7 linked regions of the Oryctolagus cuniculus genome follow. The protein of the gene in region 6 interacts with the protein of the main gene of each other region in a biochemical or structural test. Links are inferred from orthologs where the notes say so. Each region holds a gene or a part of one and is shown on either strand. Other genes may lie near its edges.

Region 1 (3,500 bases), on a different chromosome or scaffold from region 6:
GAAACGTACACCTGTACCAATGGGTCATCAAAACCTTCACGTCGAGGGTTAACAGGCTTAAAGGGAGGTGCACACAAGCACAGCACACACAATTTACCTGGTGGGTTCAGGCTTCTTGCTTTGACAGTTGATTAGCAAGAGGTAGTCTTGGGGATCCTCCTGGATGCCAAGAGTTTCCGGGGGTGGTGGAAGGCTGATCAGCTGATAGGAAGGAGGTAGAGCAGCAGACGAATCCACCTGGGAGGACGGTGGTGCCGTGTTTATAGCTAAAGGCAAATCAGCTGGTGCTTGTAGGGAGATGCCAGGCGGCTTCACAGGCTCTGCAACACCAACGTTTAACCGACACTGTCTATCACATTTTCACTTTTAAAACAAAGCTGCTTTAAAGTGTGGCGACAAGTTAGTTCAACACAAAAAAAAAGAGTAAACCATGACAATGTCAGTTAAAACAAATACTGCCTAAATGGCAACATTTATACAGGACCTAACTGGTTCTTGTCAAAGAGATTTAAGAGGAGTCTTTCACCATTCCAGTGGCTCTAAAAACGACACGGTTAACCTCGTCTTGAGCAGTCTTTAGTGTTCAGGCCACAGGAATGAAGGTGTTCTGCAGCCTTAGCAGGACAGATTTTTCTATAACAAAGTGTTCCTAGGCCAAGTCCACCCTCTTGAGGAGACCCATTCCCAGGCCCGTGGTTCTCTGAGTACTGAGGTCAACTCTTGACCCAATTTTTTTTTTTTTTTTTTTTTTTTTGGTCTTTCCACATGTCCATGGACTAGGGAGAAATAGTTTTAATTCTGGACTAGTAAAACACATTCTAGTCGTGCCCTGGGAAGTCCAAGCATCAGGGCATCACCTGGTCCCTCAGCTCACAGCCCCATCTGCCCTTTAAGGACTCGCCTGCAGCACTTCCATGGTTTCTGAAGAAGTAGCGTACTAAGCTTAGCTATGTTCTGAGAACACAGATTCGTGCAGAATGAAGTAATGTGGAAACAAGGTGAAGAGCCAGAAGTAAAATGCTGTTGACAGCACTGAGGCAACCAAGTATAATTTTAAGGGTGCAGAAGAAAAACGCTCTATGAGTCCGGTTAGGACTGAATGGAAGGCTGGGAGCAACCCAGAGAGAGGCAAATGCTTATATACTGCATGAATACACAAACCTGAAATAAACAAACAGGAAAAGCTGGGTTGACACTGAGATTTTTCACAACAAAACATTACATACGCATACAGTGAAATTAACATGAGTAAAATAACCCCCAAGACTGAAACCCTGAGGACAGTTCATTAGTTGGACCAACGTGGTAGAATGGTCTCCTCTTCTCCTTTTTATTTATTTATTTTCATTTTATCTGAAAGGCAGAGAGAGAGACAGAAAGATGGAAAGAGAGAAGTCTTCTACCCACTAATTCATAACCCGAATGCTCAACAGACAGGGCAGGGCCAGGCCAAAGCCAGGAGCTGGCTCCTCAATCTGGGTCTGCCTTGTGGGTAGTGGGATACAAGTATTTGAGCCATTGTCTGTTGCCTCCCAGGGTGAGCATTTGCTGGAAGCTGGACCTAAAAATGGAGGAGCCAGGAGCTGAACTAGACATTCCATTATGGGTGGTGGGCATCTCAAGTAGTGAAATGCTGAACCACACATCCACTCCACTTCCCTATCCCCAGTCCCTTTTAAGCCCCGTTGTGTGCCAGTATTGATTGTAATGGTAGGGGTTGCCTTCCATGGCTGTTTGAAGGTCTTTGCTTTCATAAGCTTGGTAGGGAATATAATCCAAGTTTTTCTCTAGCTCTTGCCTCTTACACATCTTCACATACTATGAACACGGCCCTTCTTTTTTTTTTTTTTTTTTTTAAGCAATCTTGGAATCCCAGGCCTCTTTTCAGAAAATTGAGGATCCTGTAGCTATAAAGAGGACAAAACTACTTTCATCATTCACAAGTGAAAGAAACAGAAAGCTAAGAATTAGGTGGTTGCACTGATGTTAATAAAACAAGGTCAGACAGATGTGATGGCTTGGTTTGGGTGGTTTTCTTCTCCCACTTAAGATGAACTGCTCAATTATTAGTGTATAGATACCAATTTTAGAAAAAATATTAAAGGAAATGTGTGATCTATAAAAACAATCATCTTCAAAATTTATTTTAGGGTTACAGAATATTAGAATTCATATGGCTTTATACAGTGATGTATTTCTAGTGTTTAGCTTGTTATTGTACTGGTTGAACTAAAAATTTAACTAGATCATTCAATTCTAACATGTTTCTACTTCAGAGGAAGGTAGTACATAAAACCCACTGTGAATATAGCCTATGTGATACATTGACTGCTTTCTGGTCCTTCTGCTAGTTTTTTTCTCCTCCATGTAGTATATATTTTTCTTAATGTCTTCTTTAAGGGTTTACTATGAATTACTATTTAATCTGTGACATTTGAAATCCCCATAAATAAATCTCTGAATATTTTCAACTGAACCAAAACAGCAACTCACCCATTTCATGGTGTATGCTGTATACACCATTTTATAATCAATACCTAATAAATGTGACTACAAGTGCTAAGAGTAAACACTGAAGTTACAGCAATAAATTGTATAAATAGCTAAAAATTCATTTTTCTGTTCTTACCTTCCATAAACAAGAAAGAAAAATTAACTCGACATAATATAGGTATTATATTTTTCAAGATAAGCCCTTTTGAAGACTTGTCATAAAATGGAATTAAAAGTTTAAAATTTGGAAATTAACTCCTATTTACTCAGGCAAAATTCTCAAACTGAAAATAGTTTTCAATTAATTAGCATCTGGTAAGGCTTGCAGAATTCCAAGAAGCAGAGCCCAAACTGCACATGCAGGTGAATGGGTCTTATAGATTTGGACTCCTTGCTTTGAGCTCTTCTAAAACCACACAGAGAAAATGCTCAGTGAGTTTCTCCCATGAATGAAACTTTTTTTTCAGCATTTACCACACGTAAGGCATAATCAGCACAGGTGCTCTGATTCTTGTTTGTTATTGGGACCCATGATTAGAGATACACTGCTATTCTTAAAAAGTCTTATTAATGTGTTACTATTCGAGCTTCACAGTTAGGATACAGTCTGTGCCTAGGAAGAAGAGCTGTAAAGTGAGCTAAGTGAATGTTGCTATAGCACGTATATAAATATTACAGTTAATTCATGAAGACATCAAAAAGCATGATTTATTCTAACTGCCAAGAGAAGCTTCTCTTGGTAGTTAGAAACTAGAAAGAGAAGCTAGAAATGACATTTTACCCCTCTCTGGGGATTAAATGTTTAGAAAGTTTGTTGGAAAGGCAGACAGAGAGAGAAAGGGCGAGAGGGAGAAGTGAGAGAGATGGAGACACTCAGAGAGAACGTACTCTTCCATCCACTGGTTCACCCTTCCCTCAAATGCCTGTAAGAGCTGGGGTTGGACCAGGCCAAAGTCAGAACAGGGAGCTCAATCCAGGTCTTGCTCAATCCAGGTAGAGACACAAAT
Region 2 (4,004 bases), on a different chromosome or scaffold from region 6:
TAATTTGGGAAACCAAAATTTAATGATTCTAACAAATTTACTTGTAGCTACACAATTTTATATGCAACATTTCATCCCTTAAGATTACAGAATTTTGCTTTCTAAACTAAATTACATGTCAACAGTTCTAACCAGCAGGGCTAACAGCCCTCCATAGCTTAAAACAAACAGGTGGGAAAAAATCCCTAACCCATGGAGTTTTAAAATTCCAGCCAATTCTAATTAGAAAAACCTGGAACACATTTGACAGGTCCAGTGTTGACAAGAAGACACAGGTTTCTCATTAAACTTTGTTTTAATGGGTCTCAAAATTCTGTGACAGATTTTTGGTCAAGTTGTTTCCATTAAAAAGTACTGATTTTAAAAACTAATAACTTAAAACTGCCACGCACAAAAAAAATGGTCCACAAAACATTCTCCTTTCCTTCTGAAGGTTTTACGATGCATTGTTATCATTAACCAGTCTTTTACTATTAAACTTAAATGGCCAATTGAGACAAACAGTTCTGAGACCGTTCTTCCACCACTGATTAAGACTGGGGTGGCAGGTATTAGGGGTAATATTCATTTAGCCTTCTGAGCTTTCTGGGCAGACTTGGTGACCTTGCCAGCTCCAGCAGCCTTCTTGTCCACTGCTTTGATCACACCCACAGCAACCGTCTGTCTCATATCACGGACAGCGAAACGACCTATTAAAACAAGTATTGAGTTGCCATGAGACACATAGTTCACAGAAGCAATTGTTAATCTTTAGTACAACTTGTAATAGCAATAAAAAAAAAAATCCTTACCCAGAGGAGGATAGTCAGAGAAGCTCTCAACACACATGGGCTTGCCGGGAACCATATCAACAATGGCAGCATCACCAGATTTCAAGAATTTAGGGCCATCTTCCAACTTCTTTCCAGAACGACGATCAATCTTTTCCTTCAGCTCAGCAAACTTGCAAGCAATGTGAGCTGTGTGACAATCCAGTACAGGGGCATACCCAGCACTGATCTGACCTGGATGGTTCAGGATGATCACCTGGGAAAAAAAGGATATGCATTTTAGTGCTTCTCAAACTGAACTGTGGTAACAGCTAGAAATGCTAACTCCCCTGATGTGATAACACTTCATACATGCATCAGATTGCTTACCCCCTTGAGTATGCATGAACATTGTCAATTAACAGATCATTTTAAATTGTTACCTGAGCAGTGAAGCCAGCTGCTTCCATTGGTGGGTCATTTTTGCTGTCACCAGCAACGTTGCCACGACGAACATCTTTGACAGACACGTTCTTGACATTGAAGCCCACATTGTCCCCAGGAAGAGCTTCACTCAAAGCTTCATGGTGCATTTCGACGGACTTGACTTCAGTTGTGACATTGACTGGAGCAAAAGTTACCACCATGCCAGGTTTGAGAACACCAGTCTCCACTCGGCCCACAGGGACAGTGCCAATACCTAAAATATTTGCAGATTACCAAAGAGTTATTGAGGGCCAAAGATTTTTCACCTGTTCCAATTCAAGTTATATTCTGATGTTACATTAATACCCAACTTACCACCAATTTTGTAGACATCCTGTAGGGGCAGACGCAGAGGCTTGTCAGTTGGTCTAGTTGGTGGAAGGATGCAGTCCAGGGCTTCAAGCAGTGTGGTTCCACTGGCATTGCCATCTTTGCGGGTGACTTTCCATCCCTTGAACCACGGCATCTGAAACACAAGAGAACAATTAATTCTATCACATCACCACTTCCAGCTCTTTAACAAGCACTGTCTTGAAAGTCACTTACATTAGCACTTGGCTCCAGCATGTTGTCACCGTTCCAACCAGAAATTGGCACAAATGCTACTGTGTCAGGGTTGTAGCCAATTTTCTTAATGTAGGTGCTGACTTCCTTAACGATTTCCTCGTATCTCTTCTGGCTGTAGGGTGGCTCAGTGGAATCCATCTTGTTAACACCAACAATTAGCTGTTTCACACCCAGCGTGTAAGCCAGAAGGGCATGCTCACGGGTCTGCCCGTTCTTGGAGATACCAGCTTCAAATTCCCCGACACCAGCAGCAACAATCAGGACGGCACAGTCAGCCTTTAAAGAAATCAAGGACACACACTGTGAACGAAGGTACCTCAAACCTAAGGAGGAACTCACCCACCCCCCGCCTAGAAAACCTTATGTCTACAGTTACTAGTTGCACAAACCTGAGATGTGCCTGTAATCATGTTTTTGATGAAGTCTCTGTGTCCTGGGGCATCAATGATAGTCACGTAATACTTGCTGGTCTCAAATTTCCACAGGGAGATGTCGATGGTGATACCACGCTCACGCTCGGCTTTCAGTTTATCCAAGACCCAGGCATACTTGAAGGAGCCCTTTCCCATCTGTAATTACACAGAGCACTCAGACGGTTACTAAGACACAGCAAAGCTTGAAACCCCATGCCCCCCTCCGCTTGGGAATGCATTCCGCTTCCCAAACTGCTGGGCCTAGGTGGCTCTCCAGTCGATATGGTGGCTCGTGATTTTAACATTCACATTCAGACAACTAATCACTGTTGTCTTTTATAGTCATAGCACTCTCATTTTAGTGGCCAGACTTAATGTAATTCAGCATCTTTCCCTTGCGATACTGGACATACCTCGGCAGCCTCCTTCTCAAATTTTTCAATGGTTCTTTTGTCGATGCCACCACATTTGTAGATCAGATGGCCAGTGGTGGTGGACTTGCCCGAATCTACGTGGCCAATGACGACGATGTTGATGTGAGTCTTTTCCTTTCCCATTTTGGCTTTGATTTAGCGGTGGTTTTCACGACACCTAAAATGGAAAAAGGGGGGGAACCTTTGAACCACTGTCCGAGGGTTGAGACTAAGCCACGTTCAAAACTCAAAAGGGCAAATTCCAAGGAGAATTACATCCAATGCCAAGCTGGCCTAACTCTTCAGTCTCCACCCACCGAGTGAGTTAACTCCATCGCCTAAAAAATCTCCGCCCCCAGCCGAGCCAAGCCGAACTCCAAAGGCCACACGAAGAAGCCAGGTGCCCAGACGGCGCCCTGTACCCCGTGGGGTCGCAGGAAGCGGCGGCCGAAGAGGGGAAGGCTCTTTTCCTTTGTGTGGGTGACTCACCCGCCCGCTCTCCCGGGCCACCGCGTCCTCCATTTTGAGCTCCCTGCAGCGGGGACGGCGAGCGGCCATCTTTTTCCGCGCACGCAACTGGTGCCGAGCGGGCCGGGCTCCGCCGCCCGGGGTGGGGCGGCCGCGGCCCCACCGAGCCGCCCGCCCCACGACCCTCGCCTCTCCCCTCGCCCGGCCTGGGCAGGCGCGGCGCCGTCGGGCCTCGCCCAGGCCGCGCCCGACATGTGCGCCCGGACGGGCGGGCCCCGCCGCTCGCTGTCCCTACGCCGCGCGGCCGCCCTGCCACCCCCTCGGGCCGGACGACGAACGCGCGGGGTAGCCCGCCCGGCCTCGGCGGGCCCATCTCGACGAACAAAAAAAGAGCCGTACCGATCCACGTAAAAACTCAAAGGGCCGAAGGGCCCCGCGAGCGAGGCTAGCCAGGCCGGCGCGAAGGCGAGAGGACTCGCACGCGGCGGCCACGCCAGGCCTCAACTCCAGCACGAGGAAGAGGCTCCTGGAAAACGCGCAAACCTCCAACCCTCCCGCCCCGTTACAGCCCGAAATTCGGAGCCAGGAACCTCGTCAAGAGGCTCAGTGGCATGGCAGTGTCCCCGAGCACGCGAGGGCCCCAGCCCGCTCAAGGCCAGACCCGCGGAAGCCACACCCGACACTCACCTGTGTTCTGGCGGCAAACCCGTTGCGAAAAAGAACGTCCAGGGCGACTACGGCACTTATATACGGTTCTCCCCCACCCTCGGGAAGAGGGCGGAGTCAGCACACGACACCGCTTTCCCAGTTTGCCCCGCGCCACCTCCACTAGGCACCGGTTCAATCGCCGTCCCCTCCCCCAACGCCTCGGGGACCGTGGGCGATGTGCGCTCCGACCACTGACGAGC
Region 3 (3,500 bases), on a different chromosome or scaffold from region 6:
GCCGCGGGTTTCAGCTGAGACAGAGGAAGCCAGGTTTGAGCTATTAATGCCCTCAATCCATCAACATGCCCTGAAGTATTTGGCTTCAGGAGCGAAACCCAATCTGCTATCGACGCGTCCCTGACTCCTTGTTCTGGATTTCCTGTTTCAGCCAGTGCGAAGCCGGGAGGGCTGGGATGTGGTCTCGGTTTCCTAACAGCACAGCTCCGAGGGCTTAGGATCCACTCCTGAGCACCAAGCACCATGGACAAGCACCTCTCTGTGCTTTGGAACTAGAAAGCCCTGTGTGAAAGGGGGGCCCCAGCTTGGAGCCAGAGCCCGAGTGTCCAGTCCCAGCTCGGCAACTTCCAGCTCCGTGCACGTTCACACAACGCTGGGGCTGACGTGCGGCCAACAACCTGTCCTTGCTGGGTGACCTCCGCCGCCGCCAGCCAGGCCCAGATAGATGCCCTGCTCATTAACAGGCGCCTGGCCTAGGGCCAGGCCTCTCTTACCTCAGGTCCATGGGAGACTGGGGGCTGGGCTGCCGCAGCTGCCACCGCCTGTGCACACTGTTGTTTCTCTGGCTGCGTGGCATCCGGCACAGCCCGCAGAGGTGACTGGGACCTCTGCGGCGCAGCGGCGGCTGCCTCGGTTCGGAATCGCTGTGCCCCAGGCTGGGAATAGACGTGGAAAGTGTGCGGCTGCCGGTTCTCAGCGCCTTCGTGGAGGACGGGGATGGGAATGTAGCCTGGTCGGAGCTGGGGGTACACAGGGTGGCCCTCCCTAGCGGGCAGCAGCCTGGCACCCTCCCGCGAGGGCCCATTGGCTGAGGATGGAGTCTCCTAAAGGGAAGAAACACAGATGGGTTAGAAACTGGTAAGAAAACGCTGCGAGAAGGCAACTGTGGCATCGAGAGCGTGATCTCCCAGAGTGCTCTGCACCCCAGAGTGTCAGCTGGGACGCGCCCAGCCCCCTGCCTCTGCCACCAGCTCTACTGCTGTCTGGGGGCATCAGGAGAGAGGTGAGCCAGGGTAGCTGTGGAGCACAGCGAGTTCCCAATTCCCAAACTGACAGCAGTGAATGAGAGCAGCCGACTGTCCCCAGATCTTCAGAGATCCAGACCAGAAGGTGGGCCCTTGGAAGCAGGGTCCAGCTGCAACCACCACCAATGTATAGCAAAAAAAAATTAATAAAAGATCACCTCCTAGATTTCCAGTCCAAACACAAACACAGAACACAGTTGGGAAGTCTTTGCAGAGAAGTGGGGTGGCACAGGCGCTGCCCCTGCAGCGATATGGTCAGGAACAACCAGAAAGGCAGGGCCAGCCGGGAGGGGAAGCATCTGGGGATTCCCTGAGCTCGGCTTCCACAAGGATTCTTTGCTCAAACTTTATTTCAGATTTCAGAACCTTCTTCTCCTAGGCCCATCAGCGCATTCCCCTGTAAGATCCAGTTTTAGCAGAAGAACCCTGCTCAGTTGGTTTAGCCAGAGTGCCCCACCCTGGATATCTGATCCACTTCCTCAGCCTCCAGGGTCTGCTCACGCCACAGGCCCGGCTGCAGCAAGAATCCTGTTAGGTAGGTTTGGCCAGAATCTCTCTGACCCTGACTTCCCCTTAGTCACTTTCTGTCCAGGGCCACACCCTGCTCCGCGGCTGTAAAGCCCCCCTTGCCCACATCGGTCTCTCTGCCCCGCCCCTGCCCGTTGCAGGCTTCCTTGTGGACCTCAGCCCAGGCCCCCGAGTCAGTCTCCTCTAGCATTACAGGGCCCACTCTTGCGAGCGGCGGCTGGGGACCCCCTCTTCCGTCCTCTCTCGCAGTCTCCCTTCAGTGGCCTGGCTATTTTGGGACCCTTGAGAAGGCCGCGTTCCAGATGCTCCGCAGGGAAAGATCTTATTTCAGACAAGGCCGGTGGGTCACTGGGCACTGCCATCTCTCAGCACACAGAGGCTGTGCAATGAAGCCCTGACCCCTTGGACTAGGGCTCCTTTCACGGGGTGGGGGAAGGGCACTGATCTGTGTCATCCGTACACATCCCAGTGCACAGACCCCTGAGCCCTTCCTGTAGGAGGAGTCTTGCTGAATGGCAAGCACACGTGGGGAATCTAAGCTTGCACAGTACAAGTCCCACTGGCGCAAAATCCACCAAAAGCGAGACAGACAACAAGGGCTGCTCTGCATTCTGAGTGCAGACAACACTAACTGCAATCCCGCTGAGACCCTGCCTAGGGCGGGCGTCCAGCACACAGAAAAGGCAAGGGTGTCGCCCTGTCCTTGGGGACACAGGCAGGCAGGCAGTCTCAGATTAGAATAGCCACGTGCTCAGGGCGGCAGCATTATTTTAGCCTGCTTAACTCTCAGGTCACCCAAGAGCAGGCAGTGGGTCTGGACGTCAGATTCGGAACCCAGTTCCTGCCGTGGGACAGGCAGTAAAAGGCAGCAGGCTGGAGGTGCTGAGAAAGCTTCGGCTGCTCCGCCGAGAGCCACAACACGCCCTCCCGGAGTGCCGTCCACCCCCAGCCCACCCCCACTTCCTTCCAGCTGCAATCTCGGCCTGCACGGCCGTGCGATGTCATCTCTGCGGGCTGCCTGCAGGCTCACTGCTTCTCCCCAGACACTGCACACTCCAGAGCCCAGCAGTCAGGACGCCTTCACCACGTGCTGGTGGGTCTCTCGGGCTCACCAAACCAGCAAGGCACCCTCTCTTGCAACAAGGAGCTTAGAAGATGGGTTAAGGGTGCCTGGGGCAAATATAAAGAGGCCTGAGGTACGGGGGAGATGGGGCTTTCAAGGGTGGAACCAGCCTGGATGGGAGCCAGCAACACTGAGCCTGCAGAGCTGCAGTGAGGTTTTGTAAGACCCATGAGAAGGGACGCAGGGGCCTGCGACAAACAGGAGCTCCCCCTACATAGGCACAAGACAGTGCCTGTCAGACTGGGGGGGGGGGCAGGGGGACGGGGGCACGGCAGCGGAACCAAGGTGAAGGACAATCAACAGTGACACAAGTCAAATGGTGGTCACCCCAGAGGAGAGGACATGGCCAGACAGGGGTCTGAAAGAACCTTCTGAGGTTCTGTCTTCTGGGGGCAGGAAATGGGTGTGCTCCTGTGAAAACCTGTCCAATAATACCTTCTCTGTAGTCCCGACACTGCCACCCCCTAGAATCCTTAGCTAGGCCTGGCTGAGCTCTCGGCTCTACCTGGAGAAAGCCCCTGTGTCCAGGAAGCTGGCCTTATCTGTATCTTACTGACCATATTCTGTACCTCAACTTTAAGAGACAAGAGAGGGGCCAGACAGTGGTTAAAGCCCCAGCCTGCAGTCCCGACATCCCATATGGGAGCCAGTGTGAGTCCTGGCTGCTCCTCTTCCAATCCAGCTCTCTGCTGTGGCCTGGGAAAGCAGCAGAAGATGGCCCAAGTTCTTGGGCCTCTGCACCCACGTGGGAGACCAGGAAGAAGCTCCTGGCTCCTGGCTTTGGATCAGCTCAACTCTGGCCGTTGCGGTAATTTGGGGAGTGA
Region 4 (3,500 bases), about 41 Mb from region 6:
ACTCACCTTTATGACTAGATACCGTGGTGGATCTCGGGCCATCCTGGTGAACTCATTGGCTAGTTCTTTAAAGGTTGGGCGAATGTTCTCATCAATCATCCAACCTAGGATAAGACACAGGAGGTAAAAAACCGTCAGTGTGCATGGAGCCGTAAGAGGAGATGGGAGGGAGAACAGTTAACAAATAGCTGGGATTTTCAGCCTTTTGGCTAAGATCAACTGTGAAAAAATGGCTTGGGGTGGGGGTGGGGGTGGGCAGTGCTATGGCATAGTGGGTAAAGCCACCTCCTGCAATTCTGGTGTCCCATATGAGCACCAGTTCCTATTCAGCTCTCGGCTATGGCCTGGGAAAGCAGTGGAAGATGGCCCAAGTCCTTGGGCCCTTGTACCCGCGTGGGAGACCCAGAAGAAATTCCTGGCTCCTAGCTTCAGATCAACGCAGCTCCGGCCTTTGGGGCCAATTGGGGGAGTGAACCAGCAGATAGAAGATCGATCTCTCTCTTAAAAAAAAAAAAAAAGGCTGGGGGAGGGGGGGATGTCGGGCCAGCAATTTAGCCTCTTCCTTGGGTCATCCACATCCTATATCTGAGTGCTGGTTTAAGTCCCAACTACTAGGCTTCCTATCCAGCTCCCTGCTAAAGCACCAGGAAGCAGTGGATGAAGGCTCAAGTACTTGAGTCCCTGCCACCCATGTGGGATACCTGGATGGAGTTCCTGGATACTGTGACAGCCTGGCGCAGCCCTGGCTGTTGCAGTCATTTGAGGAATAAACCAACAGATAGATCTGTCACTCTACCTTTCAGAAAAATAAATAGGGGCCGGTGCTGTGGCGCAGCAGGTTAACACCCTGGCCTGAAGCGCCAGCATCCCATATGGGTGCCAGTTCTAGTCCTGGCTGTTCCTCTTCCAATCCAGCTCTCTGCTATGGCCTGGGAAAGCAGTAGAAGATGGACCAAGTCCTTGGGCCCCTGCACCCACTTGGGAGACTTGGAAGAAGCTCCTGGCTCCTGGCTTCAGATTGGCATAGCTCCAGCCATTGCGGCCATTTGGGGAGTGAACCAGTGGATGGAAGACCTCTCTACCTCTCTCTGTAACTCTTTCAAATAAATCTTTAAAAATAAATAAATAAATAAGTATTTGAAAAAAATTGACTGGAGCCAGCAGGCGACTCACACTTGACCATGACCATGTAGACATCAATGGTGCAGATCTGGGGCTGTGCCAACCGTTCCCCCTTCTCCAACAGGTCTGGTACTTCTGCTAATCGCAGCCCTGCATAGGGCTCTGCACCGAAGGTCATCAGCTCCCAAACTGTCACACCTGGTAAGAAAACAGTACCCATAGGCAATGAAGTAAAAAGGGAGGCAGAAGTTGGTCAGACACAAGATGTGAAGGGCTTAGAGAGTCTAAGAGAGGGTATCTCCAAAGGCAGTTGTGGGGGCTGGCACTGTGGTGTAGCAGGCATCCCATATGGGCACCGGTTCGAGTCCCGGCTGCTCCGCTTCCAATTCAGCTCTGTTATGGCCTGGGAAAGCAGAAGATGGCCCAAGTCCTTGGGCCCCTGCCACCCACATTGGAGACCCAGAAGAAGCTCTTGGCTCCTGACTTTGGATTGGCGCAGCTCTGGCCATTGTGGCCATCTGGGGAGTGAACCAGTGGATGGAAGGCCTCTCCTCTCTGCCTCTCTACAACTCTGCTTTTCAAATTAATTAATTAACTAAAAAAAAAAAAAAAAGGTAGTCGTGGAATTTGGGACAGTGATGGCATGAAGGCACCCAGATGCACTGACCGTAGCTCCAGACGTCACTCTGGTGTGTGTATTTCCCAAAGTGGATACTCTCAAGAGCCATCCACTTAATTGGAGTCTGGGGAGTAAAGACAAAGGTGTCACTAGTCCATTTCCACAAATTTTCTTAGCATTTCCAAACCCCAAGCATGCTATCGTTTTTCCTTCTTGCCGTCTGCACTTAAATTTCTGCCAACCCCACCTTGCCCTCCATGAATTTAACGGTGAAGCATCTGCTTGCTCTGAGAGACTTCCCCCGTGCTTTGTTTACACTACCCCACCTCTCACGAGGCCCTCTGTGTCCCCTCACCTTGGCTTCACTGTGGAGGAGCTGCTTATCATCTGGGGGCAGCAGGTCAGCCACACCAAAATCTGCCACCTGAACCTGACTGGCTGACTTCAGCAGCACGTTGCGGGCAGCCAGGTTCCTGTGCACCATACCGTGCTCCTCAAGATAGTACATGCCCTGTAGGGGAAGGAAATAGCCCCAGGCTCGGAGGAAATCCACTGCGGACCTCCTGAATGCCCCCAGACCCTTGAGGGTCCTCTAAGCACTGCAAAGCTGTCATCTTCTCACCCCTGCCCTGCCTGCTGCAGCAAGGTGGCTCCCGCAGGACTCCCGCCATGCTCCTCTCACCTTAGCGATTTGTACGCCCCAGTTGAGCAGCAGCTGTGGCCCCAGCGACTCCCGCTGCTGCCTCACATGATCCAGCAGGGAACCCAGAGGCAGGTATTGAGTGACGAGCTGCAGCGATGACCCTGGGCACAGTCCCAGCAGCCGTACGATGTGGGCGTGGTCCAGGCTGCCGATGGCCAGCATGTGCTAAGAGACACGGGAGATGTTATCCAGGAATCACGGGCACACCCCAACCAGGGCGTCCCCGGACATTCAGGTGCATCAGCATGTCTAACACAGTATCTGCTAACACAGGCTGTGCTTGTGTCTGATCTTGTCCCCTCTCTCACCGGTGCACAGCATTCCTTTACTTACATCCGTCACGGCCTGAAAACTTTGCCGTCCACTCTTGTCTTCGATGACTTTAATGCACACTGGAATCTTGATGGATTCACCCTCGGGGATCCACACACCCTGGGAAGTTTGGGGCAGGAGTCAGCCTAGGGTCATTCTCCCCAGGGTCAGCCCTTTGCCCCCAGATCCATTCCCTACCTCCCCAGACTTCCTGGGGGTCACTCACTTTGTGCACAGTTCCAAAGACGCCGGAACCAAGCACTTTAAGCTTCCTCAGCTCTGTCTCTTTGAAGATTCTGGCCAAGACTTTGTTAGCCTTCTCGCTGGGATCCAGAGGCTCTAAGCTCTGAGGAGCAGATGGGAAAGAGAAACTCAGGAAAGCCCACTCACATGTCCCATACCAACCTGCTCCCCGCAATAGCTACCAGGAGCAGCAGAGCCCAGGGTGTGGGGGCAGGAATGGGAATTATGTTTAGCCCTGGAAAGCACTATGGGCATATCTAGGAATAACAGATCCCAAGGACTGAAGAAGCTGTGCTTGCGAGCTCAGGAGTCAGGAGGGGTAGGTTTTCCCTTTGCTGGGGAGCTGGGAAGTCGGCACCTTGAGTACCTTTTATCCAGTGCTCTGTGCGTTTCAAAGAACTTTCATGTGCATTATCCCCTTTCTCCCTAACAGTCTCCCTGGAAGGATGAGTGCTATTTGCGCTGTACAGATGTGCAAACTTAAGCACAGAGAAGGCACAT
Region 5 (4,188 bases), on a different chromosome or scaffold from region 6:
GCCCCTACCTCATCGGCCTGGTGAGCCTCACCCCGGGCTTGGGGGTCCTGTTCTCCCAGCACTGGCCGGTGGCCTACCTGGGCGGCTGCAGGCGCTGGGCACCCTATAGCCTCCCCTGGGTGGGGAGGGCTTTGTCTTGGCAGAGTCCCTGAGGGCCCACCCCTTTCCCATGGCTGTCCCGGCCGCCCCCGACGCTCCGCCCTGCCCCCCGCAGATCTCCGACCGCCTCCGCCGCAGCTGGCCGCCATCTTTCCTGTCCGAGTTCCGGGCCCTGCAGTTCTCGCTCATGCTCTGCGCCTTCGTCGGGGCGCTGGGCGGGGCCGCCTTCCTGGGCACCGCCATGTTCATCGAGGGTGACCGCCGGCGGGCGCAGCTGCACGTGCAGGGTCAGTGCGGGCCCCGCCCTGGCTCCCGGCCGCTGTCTCAGCGCTGGGGCTGGCGGCTCTGTGTCCTCCTCCTGGTGGTGGCTCTGCGGGTCTGCTCCAGCTGACCTTCCAGCCCTGGCTCTGACCCCGCCCCCCACAGGTCTGCTGGCCGAGGCAGGGCCCGCAGATGACCGCATCGTGGTGCCGCAGCGTGGCCGCTCCACCAGGGTCCCCGTGTCCAGTGTGCTCATCTGAGTGGCCGTCCCTCACCTGTCCGCACATCTGCCGCCGCGGGCCCTGGGGCCCGTCCCACGAGGTGCCCGGGCCTAAGCCCTCAGCCCGGCCCAGCTTCCAGGAGGGACCCTGGGCCCTGTCCAGCTCCCAGACACTACATGGGCAGCCTAGGGGAGGAGTTGGGGGTCTGGGGTGGGGAGGGGTGGGGTCCCCTCCACTGGAGCAGCCCCAGGGGGTTGGTGCTATTTGTAACCGAATAAACTTTGTAGCCAGACCCCAAGTGCCTACCTGAGTCTTTTGTCTGGATGCTGGTGACCCCTGACCTCTGGCTGGCCATCTCCAGCCCCAGGGCTCCTGGGGGCGGCGGGGGCGCTGCCGGGGGGCCACCGGGCCAGTCCCTGTGCTGTGGGGCTAAGCGCCCAGCAGTGAGGACCGCCGTGCCAGTGAGCTGGCTCCGTGTGACCCTGAGTCACGGCCGGGCTTACTGGAGCCCGCCCCCCCCTCCGCACACAACCCCTGGCCAGCCTGGGCGAGCTGGGGTGGGCGCTGCCCTCTGCCTGGCGGAATGCCTGCCGCCGACCCCGACCCCCGGTGGCTTGCCACAGGCCTTCACTCCCACGGAGGAGCTGCCCCTCGTCCCACGGGCAAGTGTCCCTTCGTGAGAACCCTGACGGGGAGGCCTCCCCCTCCCCACCGGCTGGGTGGGGGTGGGAAGGGGCGGTGCAGCGGGCTGGGAGCCCGATGATTTCCTGCCTTCACCCGGTGCTCACCACAGCTTCCTGCCGAGGACGGGCGCCGAGGCGAGGCGAGGCCAGGCGGGCGTCTGGCCCAGGGCAGGTACCGCTGGGGTGCAGGGACCCGTCTCACGCTTGCATGGCGTGGCTGGAGCCCTGGACCCCAGCCCGGGCCCTGGCCTGACCTAGGGGGCTAGGGTCCCCCAGAGCTTGCACAGAGCCCAGCCCCCACAGAGGGCTCCGCTGCCCCCTACCCCCCACCGCTGCGCCCTTCCCTGAGGACCTGGGCCAGGCTCTGCCCAGCAGATGGAGGTGAACGTCCTTGGACACTCGGCGCTGGGCCTCCTGCTGGGGCCGCTCCTGGCTGTGCTGCTAATGGCCCTGTGTGTGCGCTGCCGCCGGCTGTCAGGTGAGCAGGGGCTTGAGGGCGGGGGTGCACCTGCTGGAGTCGCTGTACAGTCCCCGGCCTCCCTCGCCTGCCTCCGCCTGCCACCGCCCCGAGCCCTGGCCCCTGCCTCACCAACCGCTCTCTTCCCCCAGACTCCTACAACAGTGCCTCTTCCTCGGATGGGTGAGTGGGTCCCCTCCGCCCCGTGCCTGTCCCCCGCAATTCCCCATGGAGGGCTGGGCTGGGGGTGGGGGGTCTTGCTCGGCTCCAGCCCCCACCTGTGTCTCTCTTGCCAGTTTGTATCCCAGGAGCATCTTGATCAAACCGCCCTGTGAGTAGTTGGAGGCGCCCCTGCCTCCGGGAGAGAGGCTCCCTCCGTTGGGTGTCCCCTCGTTCTAGGTTGCCCACATGGCCTTGGCTTGAGCTGGGATGGGGAGTGGGGGGCGGTCAGGGCACCAGGGCTTCGAGGAAGGCGGGAGATGCGGGTCGGAAGTCACTCTTCCCAGCTCAGCTCTGTGTCCTCAGATACCCCTGCCCCCTGGCCGGCTGTTACCTCCGTTCCACCCCTGAGCCAGCCAGACCTGCTCCCCATCCCGTGAGTAGCCCCCCAACTCCTTCGCCTCCAAATCTCTCTCTACTCCCTTGTTTTTCCAGTGCCCCCCGCCCCGCCCTGCTGTAACCCTCCTGGCATTGAGTGTGACCTCTGACCTTTGATTCCCAGGAGATCTCCGCAGCCCCCTGGGGATTCCCACCGGATGCCGTCTTCCCGGAGGGACTCTGGTGGCGGTAAGTGTGGCAGGGCACCCCCACTCTGCCGGGAAGGCAGGGGTGCCTCCAACTACTCACAGGGCGGTTTGATCAAACTCACAGGGATATACAAACTGGCAAGAGACACGGGTGGGGGCTGGAGCCGAGCCAGACCCCCCACCCCCAGCCCAGCCCTCCGTGGGGAATTGCGGGGGACAGGCACAGGGTGGAGGGGACCCACTCACCCATCCGAGGAAGCCCAACCCTGAGCTGACTCAGTTTCCCTCTTGCTCTCTCCTTGAAGCCCAGAGCGTGGCGAGCTACGAGAACGAGGGTGCGTTTGGGCTGCCGGGGGCGGCGGGGTTGGGGGGCCCAGCCGGGTGGGGAGGCGGGGGCCTGTCTCGGGCTGTGCTGAGCTCTCCCCACCCCGTGTCGTTGCCCGCAGAGCTGGCCTGTGAGGACGCGGATGAAGATGAGGATGAGGAGGACTCTCACAATGAGGGCTACCTGTGAGTGGCAAGGGGGCAGGTGGGCAGGTGGGTGCTGGGGCCCCGGGCGAGCTTCCTCACCCCCTCCCCCATTGGTTCACTCTCAGGGAGGTGCTTCCCGATGACAGCCCGGCCACCAGCGGCCCTGGCCCCTCCGCCCCTGCGCCCGGAAACCCTGGTCTCCGAGACAGTGCCTTCTCCAGTGAGTCAGGAGGTGCCGGGCCCCCCCCCCCCGCATGCTCCCCTGCCCTGTGAAGGTTTTAGCGACCCCGCTCCCCTGTGCTCCCTCTCCAGGGCTCCCCTGCTGCAGGTGCCGGACTTCTGCCCTGGCCTTGATTTCTCCTTTATTGTCTGGGAGATGTCCTTGCCTTTATTCGCAGCCCTTGTGCTGTATATATGTTTTCCCCTCCTATCCAGTTCTTTCTGGGTCTCTGCATGTTCCTTTTTTGTAGCCCCCTGTTCTTGTTTCATGGAGGCAATAGCATCTTGTACATTTCTGTTTTTTTTTTTTAACTAAAGATTAAAAAGAAATTTTGCAAAAATGTATTTTGAGAGGCAGTGGCTCAGATGCCGGCAACAGCCAAGGCTCAGCCTAACTGAAGCCTGGAACCTGGAACTCAGCCATGTGCGCGGCAGAAACCCAGCCGCTCGAGCCGTCCACGGCTGCCTCCCAGGGTACACCGCAGCAGGAAGCCGGAACTGGGAGTGGAGGGGGAGGGGCAGGGGGCTCCAGCCCAGGCTCTCTGAGCTGGGAATACAGGTTGTGGGCATCCCCCGCAGGGTCTTCACCGCTGTGCCCAGTGCCCACCGCCATCTGGTCGGTCTGAGGACCTGATGGTGTGTGTGTGTGTGTGTGTGTGCGCGCACACATGGCTGGGGGAGGGGGCGCCTTTTCCTCTGCTCCCCTTGGAGCTGCCTTTCTCCCTTCAGTTTGGTTTCACCCCGGGGCTTTTCTCGCCTGCTACGTGTGCTGGTCCCTGGCTCCCGCACCTGCAAGCTGCCGTCCCTCACCATCCCAAGTCCTGGGCTGCATCAGTTTGTCCCAGTGCTGCTTCCCATCCATCCATCCATCCATTCATTCACTTGTCACCCATTGTCCTGCAAATGCCTCCGTGGGGCTGAGGCCAGGCTGTGACAGCCACTGAGGCAAAGCACAGAGACTTCAGCGTCTCGTGCTGGCTGAGGGCTGCCACTTTATTTATTTGAGAGGCAGAGTTACAGAGAGAGAGAGA
Region 6 (3,500 bases):
AAACAGCCCCTTACAGACTAAGATACTGGGAAACAAGGGCCTGAGGACCTTGTCTATGGAAAAGATAGACCACAACCACTGGCAAGTAGAAGGGGTTTTTCAGGGGGAAGCCTTGGGGTAGCAATAGCTGCACAGAAGTAGTTCCCAGTTAATCCAATTACACAGATTGCCCAGCAGTGCAGATATCCTACACTGAAGAGGTCAGAATAGGTAAGAGACCTCCTAATTTAGCTATCGGGGACCACTGGTGATTCCTTGAGTGAGGCGAGACACAAGTGACCACAGGTTAGGTGGTAAATAAGAATCTAGGAATGGGATACAGTGAATGTAGGTAATTCCCTAGGCTATGAAGTAAAGAAACTGGCAGGTCACTGGCATAAAGAGACCAGGGTTAACACTGAGAAGAGCTAAAATGTGTTCCTCAGGTTGAAGAGAAAGGCCAGGAACCATGTGGGCCAAGGATGCAGGAAACAGGAATTAACAGGAAAATAGAGCAAGGAGAGGAGGGCAGGCCAAGAGGAAGGAGAGGGGAGTGGGGATGGGTATGAGGGGGTCCCTCTGTCCCAGGAGTCAGAGTTAGGGGCCGGGTTCACCAGGAGGACCCCCTCTCCACTCACTCTGAGGCCACAAAGGCATGTTCCTTGATGGTATGCAGGACATCTGAGAACTTGATCTTGGTGGTAAGGGTGTGTCCATGGTAAATGACTGGCATCCCATCTGGGCCATCCCAGCAGTCCACTGGGAAGCAACATTATCACAGTCAAAGGGGCAGGCCTCGCACCTTCCCCCTCCCAGGTCCTGGCCCCCACGCACATTCAATGCAGCGACAGCCCATCCGCAGACACCGAGCATAGGCTTCCAGGGAGGACTCGCTGGAGAACTGGTCCCCAGTCAGGTACCTGGATAGGCAAGAAGTGGGTGTGGTCAGGTGGGCTCCTCTTCCTCGAGAGAGGGCAGAGTGGGGCTGAGGGAGCCACACTCACGTGTTGTGTGAGGATGAGATCCAATAGTGGGAGAGAGGGTTGTTCATGGTGTCTGGGCACACTGCATCCAGCTGGGAGTTCCACACACTGTTCTCTTTGGAGAACAGGAAGGTGACAAACTGTCCAAAACAAATGTGGAAGGGAAGACAAAGTGAGCCCCTGCCTGGCCCCGGGATGGTGAACAGGGGTGGAAGAGAGGTCACTCAGCCTCAGCTGGGGTGGTCAAGGTGGATTTCAGGTGTAACAAGGAGGAATCTCTGAGAAGCTGGCTCTTGGGGTTCAGTTGGGCTTCTGGTCACCACCACCCCCCGCCCTGACATAAAGAGATAACAGTGAAGCCCACCTCATCCAGGAAGAAGTATGGTTCCTCAATCTCTCGCAAGGGGTCCCGGAGAAAGCTGAGCATGAATTCCTGTACCTGGAGCCGGTCAATGGCCCATAGCTCCTGACAGGGAGGGGAACAAAGGGAAGGCATGGGAGAGGCCTCAGGTCAGGGATGAACCCAGCCCTGAAGCCTGATACCCTGGCCCAGCCCCAGCCCTGCCATACCCCCTGGTACTCAAGGAGGAACTGCTGGAACTCAGGAAGGGTCACTCGGCAAAGATCTGGTCGCTCCCCTGTCCTGCAGGGAGAGAAATGGTAAGTGCCTGGCAGCCAGTTGGCTAGCACTGCTAACAGCTAGGGGCCCCCTGGAAGGCAGAGGCCAACTCCCAGCCAGCATAGCTACCCAGAGTAGTCTAGCATGGCTCACCCTTTTCACATGGATTAGGAAGTACCCATGACAGAGATGAGGGAGGCCCAGGAAAGAACCCCACCTCCCCACTCCGAACCAAACCTCAGGGCGCTGGCTTCCAAGAAGGGGAGATCCATCTGCAGGAAACAGAACCTGGTCAGGGTGCAAGTCCTTGGGGGCCTCACAGGAAACGGCCTCTTAGGAAGAGAGGCTGGGGCAGCAAGGGACAGACCTCAGGAGAAGAAAGGCTAGAGAAATGGCACCCAAAAGCCCCCAAGCAGGGCAGCAGGGTTGAGGCAAGCAGGGCTGAGGATGGAGTGGAGAGGCAGGGCAGGGCAGGGGAGGGTAGGTGGCTCATGCACCGTCTTCTGGGCGCTGTACATGAGGCTGCGGTACAGCTGAGCAAACTGCCCGTAGGTGATGTCCCCACTGCGCTGCTCCAGGTCCTACACAGTACAGAGCAGGATGGCTAGTCAGGCACCCAGCCAAAGGCTTCTGGCCACCCTGGCCCCTCCCCTGCAGACAGCTCCAGGAGGTCCTTACCGTCAGCCGCTCCTTGAGGAAGCGCATGTTGGGGACCCGGTAGTTGACCTGGGACAGCATGTTCTTCAGGTCTTTGGCTGAAATACTGAGAAAACAGGTGTGTCCTCAGGGGCCTCTGATGTGTGGGCCAACCCACCTGGGGCTGGATAGGTAATCAGTACTACTCTGGGAATCTGGAATCCTGGGCACGAGACTGAATCAGAACCCACAAGGTGGACAAGGGAAGTCTCTTCCTTCTCTGGGCCTCAGTTGCCTCATATGAGCAAAGAAAATTCCATGATTCTGACAATGAGGAAGTGGCCAGGCTCAGTAAAACAGGTCAGGCCTAACAGGAGGGAAAAATCAAACCCCTGGCCTCCCCTCCTTGCAGTACTGCTGAAGCCTGTACCTCCAGCTCTCCAGGTGCCAGCTGGCCCCTGCAGGGCACAAGGGAGGGCTCACTGGCAAATTCCCTACAAGGGGTAGCTCAGCAGTGGGATGATGGGATGCTGGGAGTTTGCTCCTCGGAGCATATTATCCCCAAGCCCCATCAGCACCCAGTGCCACAGTGCAAGGAATATGGGAGGAGGGGATAGGCACACTCAGAGAAACTGCTGGTGACTGGGTACTTTCCTGGTGTCGGATGGGAAAGGAACTCTAGAGAGCAAGCATCCCTGCCCTCCAGGGTACCCTGTGCAGGATGGGAGAGCCAGGGGATATTGTTGGACCTGGCAACAGGATGGACAAGATGGGAGAAAAAGGATTTCTCTTCTGAAATGTGGAGATAGCCCGATAGGCAGCAGTAAAACCAGAGGGAACTCGGCTTCTCCACAGGGGTCCAGTATGGCTGAGCCTCATCTGACCCTCAGTCCCAAGAGGTAAAAGCTGTCAGGGTTTCGAGTTTCTGGTAAGGAACGAGATGCCTTCTTATCTAAAAGGCTTGTGCCACCAGAGCTTCCCTGTGGACTGTTCCCATCAGCATGTTAACCGTCTGTTGTCTCCCACCAAAAGACAGGTCTTGCCCTGCTTACCTCTCCCTGTTCCCCTCTGCGGTACAAACTTCCAGAAGTAGTTTCCCAAGCCCCCTTTCACGCCTGGAGCCCTCACCATTCTGCTGATGCTGCTCTCCCACCATGCTGTTTGACCCAAGGGTCATGTCACAGTCTTCCCTCAGGCTGCCAGAATTCAATACCATTTTCCTCTTACTAGCTCACACTAGCCGCCATTCATCCCCAATCTCTGAGATGGGCTGGCATCCCTGT
Region 7 (3,500 bases), on a different chromosome or scaffold from region 6:
CCATGTCACCAAGCAGCCCCGGCACCACTTATAGCCAGGACATTCCTAGTGCCCATGGAGCCCCCTACCGGGGCAACTGTGTTCCACGCTGAGCCAACAACACTGTGTTTCCTGGAGACATCAAGGAATGCGTTCAACCCAAATGGTCTCCATTACCCTTTCCTTCCTCCCTGCCCCACCCCGCAGAGCCAGCGCCCTGTCTGTGACGGGGGTGGGGAAGATGACAGGTGGCTCCTGGTGCCACCGACACACCACCCATGCCGGGGACCTCCCACCGCCCCGTCTCAGGTCTGCCAGGTGCGCCTGGGGCTCCTTACCGCGTCTCCTGCACCTGCTCCACGTCCGTGGTGATCTCCGTGAGATTCTCGATCAGAGTCCGGCTGTCCTTCAGCCAGGATATCCTGGGCGGGGGGTAGGCACGCACCTCCACCACGAAATGCTTCACTTCGTGCAGGTTGACGGCCTCCGACTGGTTGAAAGTGGGCTTGATCTCCACAAACCCCTTCTCTGCAGAGGGAAGAGTGCGCATTGGAGCAAGGGCGTCAGTGCACACGGCCCCCGCAGTGCACACGGCCCCCGCAGTGCACACGGCCCCCCACAGTGCACACGGCCCCCCACAGTGCACACGGCCCGGCAGCCCTCGCGGGAGGCGGGCCCTACCATGCACGGCGATGGTGACCTTCTTCATCTCTTTGACCTCCCTGGTGGCCTGGCGGGCGGCGCACTCGTAGTCCCCACTGTCCTTCACTGTGGCCCTGGGGACCGTCAGCGTGTACACCAGCTTGAGCGTGGGGACTTTGATTTCTTCCAGCATTGTGACACCTTTGCCCTTCTGCAGTGGCAGAGGAAAAAAAAAAAAGCTTTGAAGACATGCGCTCTATTTTATTCATTTATTTGAGAGGCAGAGAGAGGACTAGCATGTTCCATCTGCCCGTTCACTCCCCGCAAGGCCCACAACCGCTGGAGCTGGGCCACGCCGCAGCCAGGGGCCAGGAACACAGTCCAGGTCTCCTGTGTGGGTGGCAGGGGCCCAAGGACTTGAGGCCTCCCAGGGTACACACAGTGGCATTAGCAGGCAGCTGCTAAAAAACAAAAACAAACAACAAAACAAAACAAAACAAAAAACCACGCAAATCCAGAGTGAAGCCAGGACTCCACGCCAGGCACTGTGGTGAGATGCAGGAGTCTGAGGCAGCTGGGCCAATGCCCACCCTCAAGGGAGGAGCCTGAAAGACCACCCGGTGCTCACTGCAGAGGCGAGGGGCCCAGCAACGCCGACAGGACATGGATCACTAGGGAGATGCACCTGCCCACGATCCCTAGCGAGATGCACGTGCAGCCAAGTGCACCACGGCCGTCTCCATGGGGCACCCACCATCTCCCCGGGGTAAGTCCACTGCAGGTCCACCACTTCGTTGTTGAAGACGGCGCAGGTGACCACAATCGTCTCTCCTGCCTTATACACAGTCTGGAGCGCTTCCATTTCCAGATCCAACTCCGACGTCGCTGCAACGAGAGCACACACGAGCGCCTGAATCCCCCGGTGCGCTCGGCTTATGAGACGGTTTCAAGTGCGCACGGGTGAGAAAACCCCGCAAAATGCTCCACCAATCAGTCTGGAGATTCCTCAGAAACCTGAATATAACCCTACCGTTCGACCCAGCCATCCCACTCCTTGGAATTTACCCAAAGGAGTTTAAATTGATAAAGAAAAAAGCGGTCTGCACCCTAATGTTTATTGCAGCACAATTCACAATAGCCAAGACCTGGAACCAACCTAAATGCCCATCAATGGTAGACTGGATAAAGAAATTATGGGATATGTATTCTTTAGAATACTATACCGCAGTAAGAAACAACGAAATCCAGTCATTTGCAACAAAATGGAGGAATCTGGAACACATCATGCTGAGTGAAGTAAGCCAGTCCCAAAGGGACAAATACCATATGTTCTCCCTGATCGGTGACAACTGACTGAACACCAAAAAGGAAACCTCCTGAAGTGAAATCAACACTATGAGAAACGGTGACTTGATCAGCATAGCCCTGACTGCTAATGGACAACTTAATACATTATCCCTCATAGTATTTTTTTTTGTCTGTTCTTAATATGACCGGTTTAATTCTGTAATTATCACACAGTTATTCTTAAGTGTTGAAAATTAACTGAAATGTGATCCCTGTTAAACATAAAAGTGGGAATAAGAGAGGGAAGAGATGTATAATTTGGGGCATGCTCGGGCTGACTTGCCCCAATTGGTAGAGTTGGAAACATACCAGGGGATTCCAATTCAATCCCATCAAGGTGGCATGTGCCAATGCCATCTCACTATTCCAAGTGATCAATTTCAGTTCACAATTGATCATAATGAAAGGACTAAGAGTCAAATGGAGCACATAAACAAGTCTAGTATCTGCTAACACTAACCGATAGAATAAATAAAGGGGAGAGTGATCCAACATGGGAAGTGAGATACTCAGCAGACTCATAGAATGGCGGATGTCCTAAATAGCACTCTGGCCTCAGAATCAGCCCTAAAGGCACTCGGATCTGGCTGAAAAGCCCATGAGAGTATTTCAGGCATGGAAAGCCAAGAAACTCTGGCAAAAAGATCTCTGCGAGTGAGATCCCAGTGGAAAGAACAGGTCTTCAAAGAGGGAGGTGCCTTTCTCTGAAGGGAGGAGAGAACCTCCACTTTGACTATGACCTTGTCTAAACAAGATAAGAGTCAGAGAACTCAAGGGGCTTCCATAGCCTTGGAAACTCATGACTGGTGCATAGGGAGATTACTGATGCCATAAACAGGAGTGTCAATTTGTAAAGTCAACAACAGGAGTCACTGTGCACTTACTCCTCATGTAGGATCTCTGTCCTTAATGTGCTGTACACTGAGGCTTAATGCTATAACGAGTACTCAAACAGTATATTTCACTTTGTGCTTCTATGGGGATGCAAACGATTGAAATCTTTACTTAATGTACACTAAACTGATCTTCTGTAAAAAAAAAAAAAAAAAAAAAAAAAGAAATTATCAATTCCCAACTTGACTCTCACTGGGATTAAACATGACAATAGGTCTGATCTGATTTCATCATCATTTAAAAAAAAATCATCTATTATTTTTCACTTTATGTTTCTGTGTGGGAACAAACTGTTGAAATCCTTACTTAAGGTATACTAAGCTGATCTTCTGTATATTAAGATAATCGAAAATGAATCTTGATGTGAATGGAAGGGGAGAGGGAGTGGGAAGGGGGAGGGTTGTGGGTGGGAGGGACGGTATGGGGGGGAAAGCCATTGTAACCCATGAGTCGTACTTTGGAAATTTATATTCATTTAATAAAAGATAAAAAAAAAAAAAAAAGAATGACATGAAAAAAAAAATGCTCCACCAATCAGTTCGAGGGAGACAGAATCTGTAAAACCTCAGAGGCCTGGCTATTGAGGTCCTGAAGACGGAGGGGCAGCCAGCGGCCGCACAGAAATACAAAATAATGAC

What was found.
Region 1: the proteins of PLCG1 (region 6) and GAB1 form a complex in vitro, tested with the Homo sapiens proteins (2 studies listed by BioGRID and IntAct, with this or other methods). The link is inferred for Oryctolagus cuniculus from reciprocal best matches to the Homo sapiens genes PLCG1 and GAB1.
Region 2: the proteins of PLCG1 (region 6) and EEF1A1 form a complex in vitro, tested with the Homo sapiens proteins (2 studies listed by BioGRID, with this or other methods). The link is inferred for Oryctolagus cuniculus from reciprocal best matches to the Homo sapiens genes PLCG1 and EEF1A1.
Region 3: the proteins of PLCG1 (region 6) and BAG3 form a complex in vitro, tested with the Homo sapiens proteins (2 studies listed by BioGRID). The link is inferred for Oryctolagus cuniculus from reciprocal best matches to the Homo sapiens genes PLCG1 and BAG3.
Region 4: the proteins of PLCG1 (region 6) and ERBB3 form a complex in vitro, tested with the Homo sapiens proteins (2 studies listed by BioGRID and IntAct, with this or other methods). The link is inferred for Oryctolagus cuniculus from reciprocal best matches to the Homo sapiens genes PLCG1 and ERBB3.
Region 5: the proteins of PLCG1 (region 6) and LAT form a complex in vitro, tested with the Homo sapiens proteins (2 studies listed by BioGRID and IntAct, with this or other methods). The link is inferred for Oryctolagus cuniculus from reciprocal best matches to the Homo sapiens genes PLCG1 and LAT.
Region 7: the proteins of PLCG1 (region 6) and PDGFRA form a complex in vitro, tested with the Homo sapiens proteins (2 studies listed by BioGRID, with this or other methods). The link is inferred for Oryctolagus cuniculus from reciprocal best matches to the Homo sapiens genes PLCG1 and PDGFRA.

The regions. Positions count from the first base shown.
Region 1 is NC_091439.1:21,136,242-21,139,741, forward strand, and holds part of GAB1 (GRB2-associated-binding protein 1), read right to left. Parts: intron 321-3,500; coding exon 98-320; intron 1-97. UniProt on the Homo sapiens protein: Adapter protein that plays a role in intracellular signaling cascades triggered by activated receptor-type kinases. Plays a role in FGFR1 signaling. Probably involved in signaling by the epidermal growth factor receptor (EGFR) and the insulin receptor (INSR).
Region 2 is NC_091436.1:99,027,911-99,031,914, reverse strand, and holds EEF1A1 (elongation factor 1-alpha 1), read right to left. Parts: upstream 2,801-4,004; 5' UTR 2,773-2,800; coding exon 2,629-2,772; intron 2,372-2,628; coding exon 2,192-2,371; intron 2,079-2,191; coding exon 1,782-2,078; intron 1,702-1,781; coding exon 1,551-1,701; intron 1,450-1,550; coding exon 1,193-1,449; intron 1,027-1,192; coding exon 792-1,026; intron 690-791; coding exon 565-689; 3' UTR 280-564; downstream 1-279. UniProt on the Homo sapiens protein: Translation elongation factor that catalyzes the GTP-dependent binding of aminoacyl-tRNA (aa-tRNA) to the A-site of ribosomes during the elongation phase of protein synthesis.
Region 3 is NC_091446.1:11,052,123-11,055,622, forward strand, and holds part of BAG3 (BAG family molecular chaperone regulator 3), read right to left. Parts: intron 825-3,500; coding exon 495-824; intron 1-494. UniProt on the Homo sapiens protein: Co-chaperone and adapter protein that connects different classes of molecular chaperones including heat shock proteins 70 (HSP70s), e.g. HSPA1A/HSP70 or HSPA8/HSC70, and small heat shock proteins (sHSPs), e.g. HSPB8.
Region 4 is NC_091442.1:58,896,812-58,900,311, reverse strand, and holds part of ERBB3 (receptor tyrosine-protein kinase erbB-3), read right to left. Parts: intron 3,103-3,500; coding exon 2,983-3,102; intron 2,877-2,982; coding exon 2,778-2,876; intron 2,610-2,777; coding exon 2,424-2,609; intron 2,253-2,423; coding exon 2,097-2,252; intron 1,866-2,096; coding exon 1,790-1,865; intron 1,321-1,789; coding exon 1,174-1,320; intron 105-1,173; coding exon 7-104; intron 1-6. UniProt on the Homo sapiens protein: Tyrosine-protein kinase that plays an essential role as cell surface receptor for neuregulins.
Region 5 is NC_091450.1:7,782,849-7,787,036, forward strand, and holds the start of LAT (linker for activation of T-cells family member 1), read left to right. Parts: upstream 1-1,388; 5' UTR 1,389-1,639; coding exon 1,640-1,742; intron 1,743-1,873; coding exon 1,874-1,904; intron 1,905-2,017; coding exon 2,018-2,052; intron 2,053-2,246; coding exon 2,247-2,316; intron 2,317-2,442; coding exon 2,443-2,507; intron 2,508-2,772; coding exon 2,773-2,977; intron 2,978-3,063; coding exon 3,064-3,158; coding exon of another isoform or gene 3,159-3,170; intron 3,171-4,188. Other genes in the region: SPNS1 (protein spinster homolog 1), read left to right, coding at 1-20, 215-386, 526-620. UniProt on the Homo sapiens protein: Required for TCR (T-cell antigen receptor)- and pre-TCR-mediated signaling, both in mature T-cells and during their development.
Region 6 is NC_091442.1:17,778,290-17,781,789, forward strand, and holds part of PLCG1 (1-phosphatidylinositol 4,5-bisphosphate phosphodiesterase gamma-1), read right to left. Parts: intron 2,345-3,500; coding exon 2,260-2,344; intron 2,163-2,259; coding exon 2,079-2,162; intron 1,854-2,078; coding exon 1,819-1,853; intron 1,606-1,818; coding exon 1,533-1,605; intron 1,429-1,532; coding exon 1,327-1,428; intron 1,103-1,326; coding exon 984-1,102; intron 900-983; coding exon 814-899; intron 739-813; coding exon 618-738; intron 1-617. UniProt on the Homo sapiens protein: Mediates the production of the second messenger molecules diacylglycerol (DAG) and inositol 1,4,5-trisphosphate (IP3). Plays an important role in the regulation of intracellular signaling cascades.
Region 7 is NC_091439.1:109,918,155-109,921,654, forward strand, and holds part of PDGFRA (platelet-derived growth factor receptor alpha), read right to left. Parts: intron 1,507-3,500; coding exon 1,376-1,506; intron 833-1,375; coding exon 661-832; intron 508-660; coding exon 318-507; intron 1-317. UniProt on the Homo sapiens protein: Tyrosine-protein kinase that acts as a cell-surface receptor for PDGFA, PDGFB and PDGFC and plays an essential role in the regulation of embryonic development, cell proliferation, survival and chemotaxis.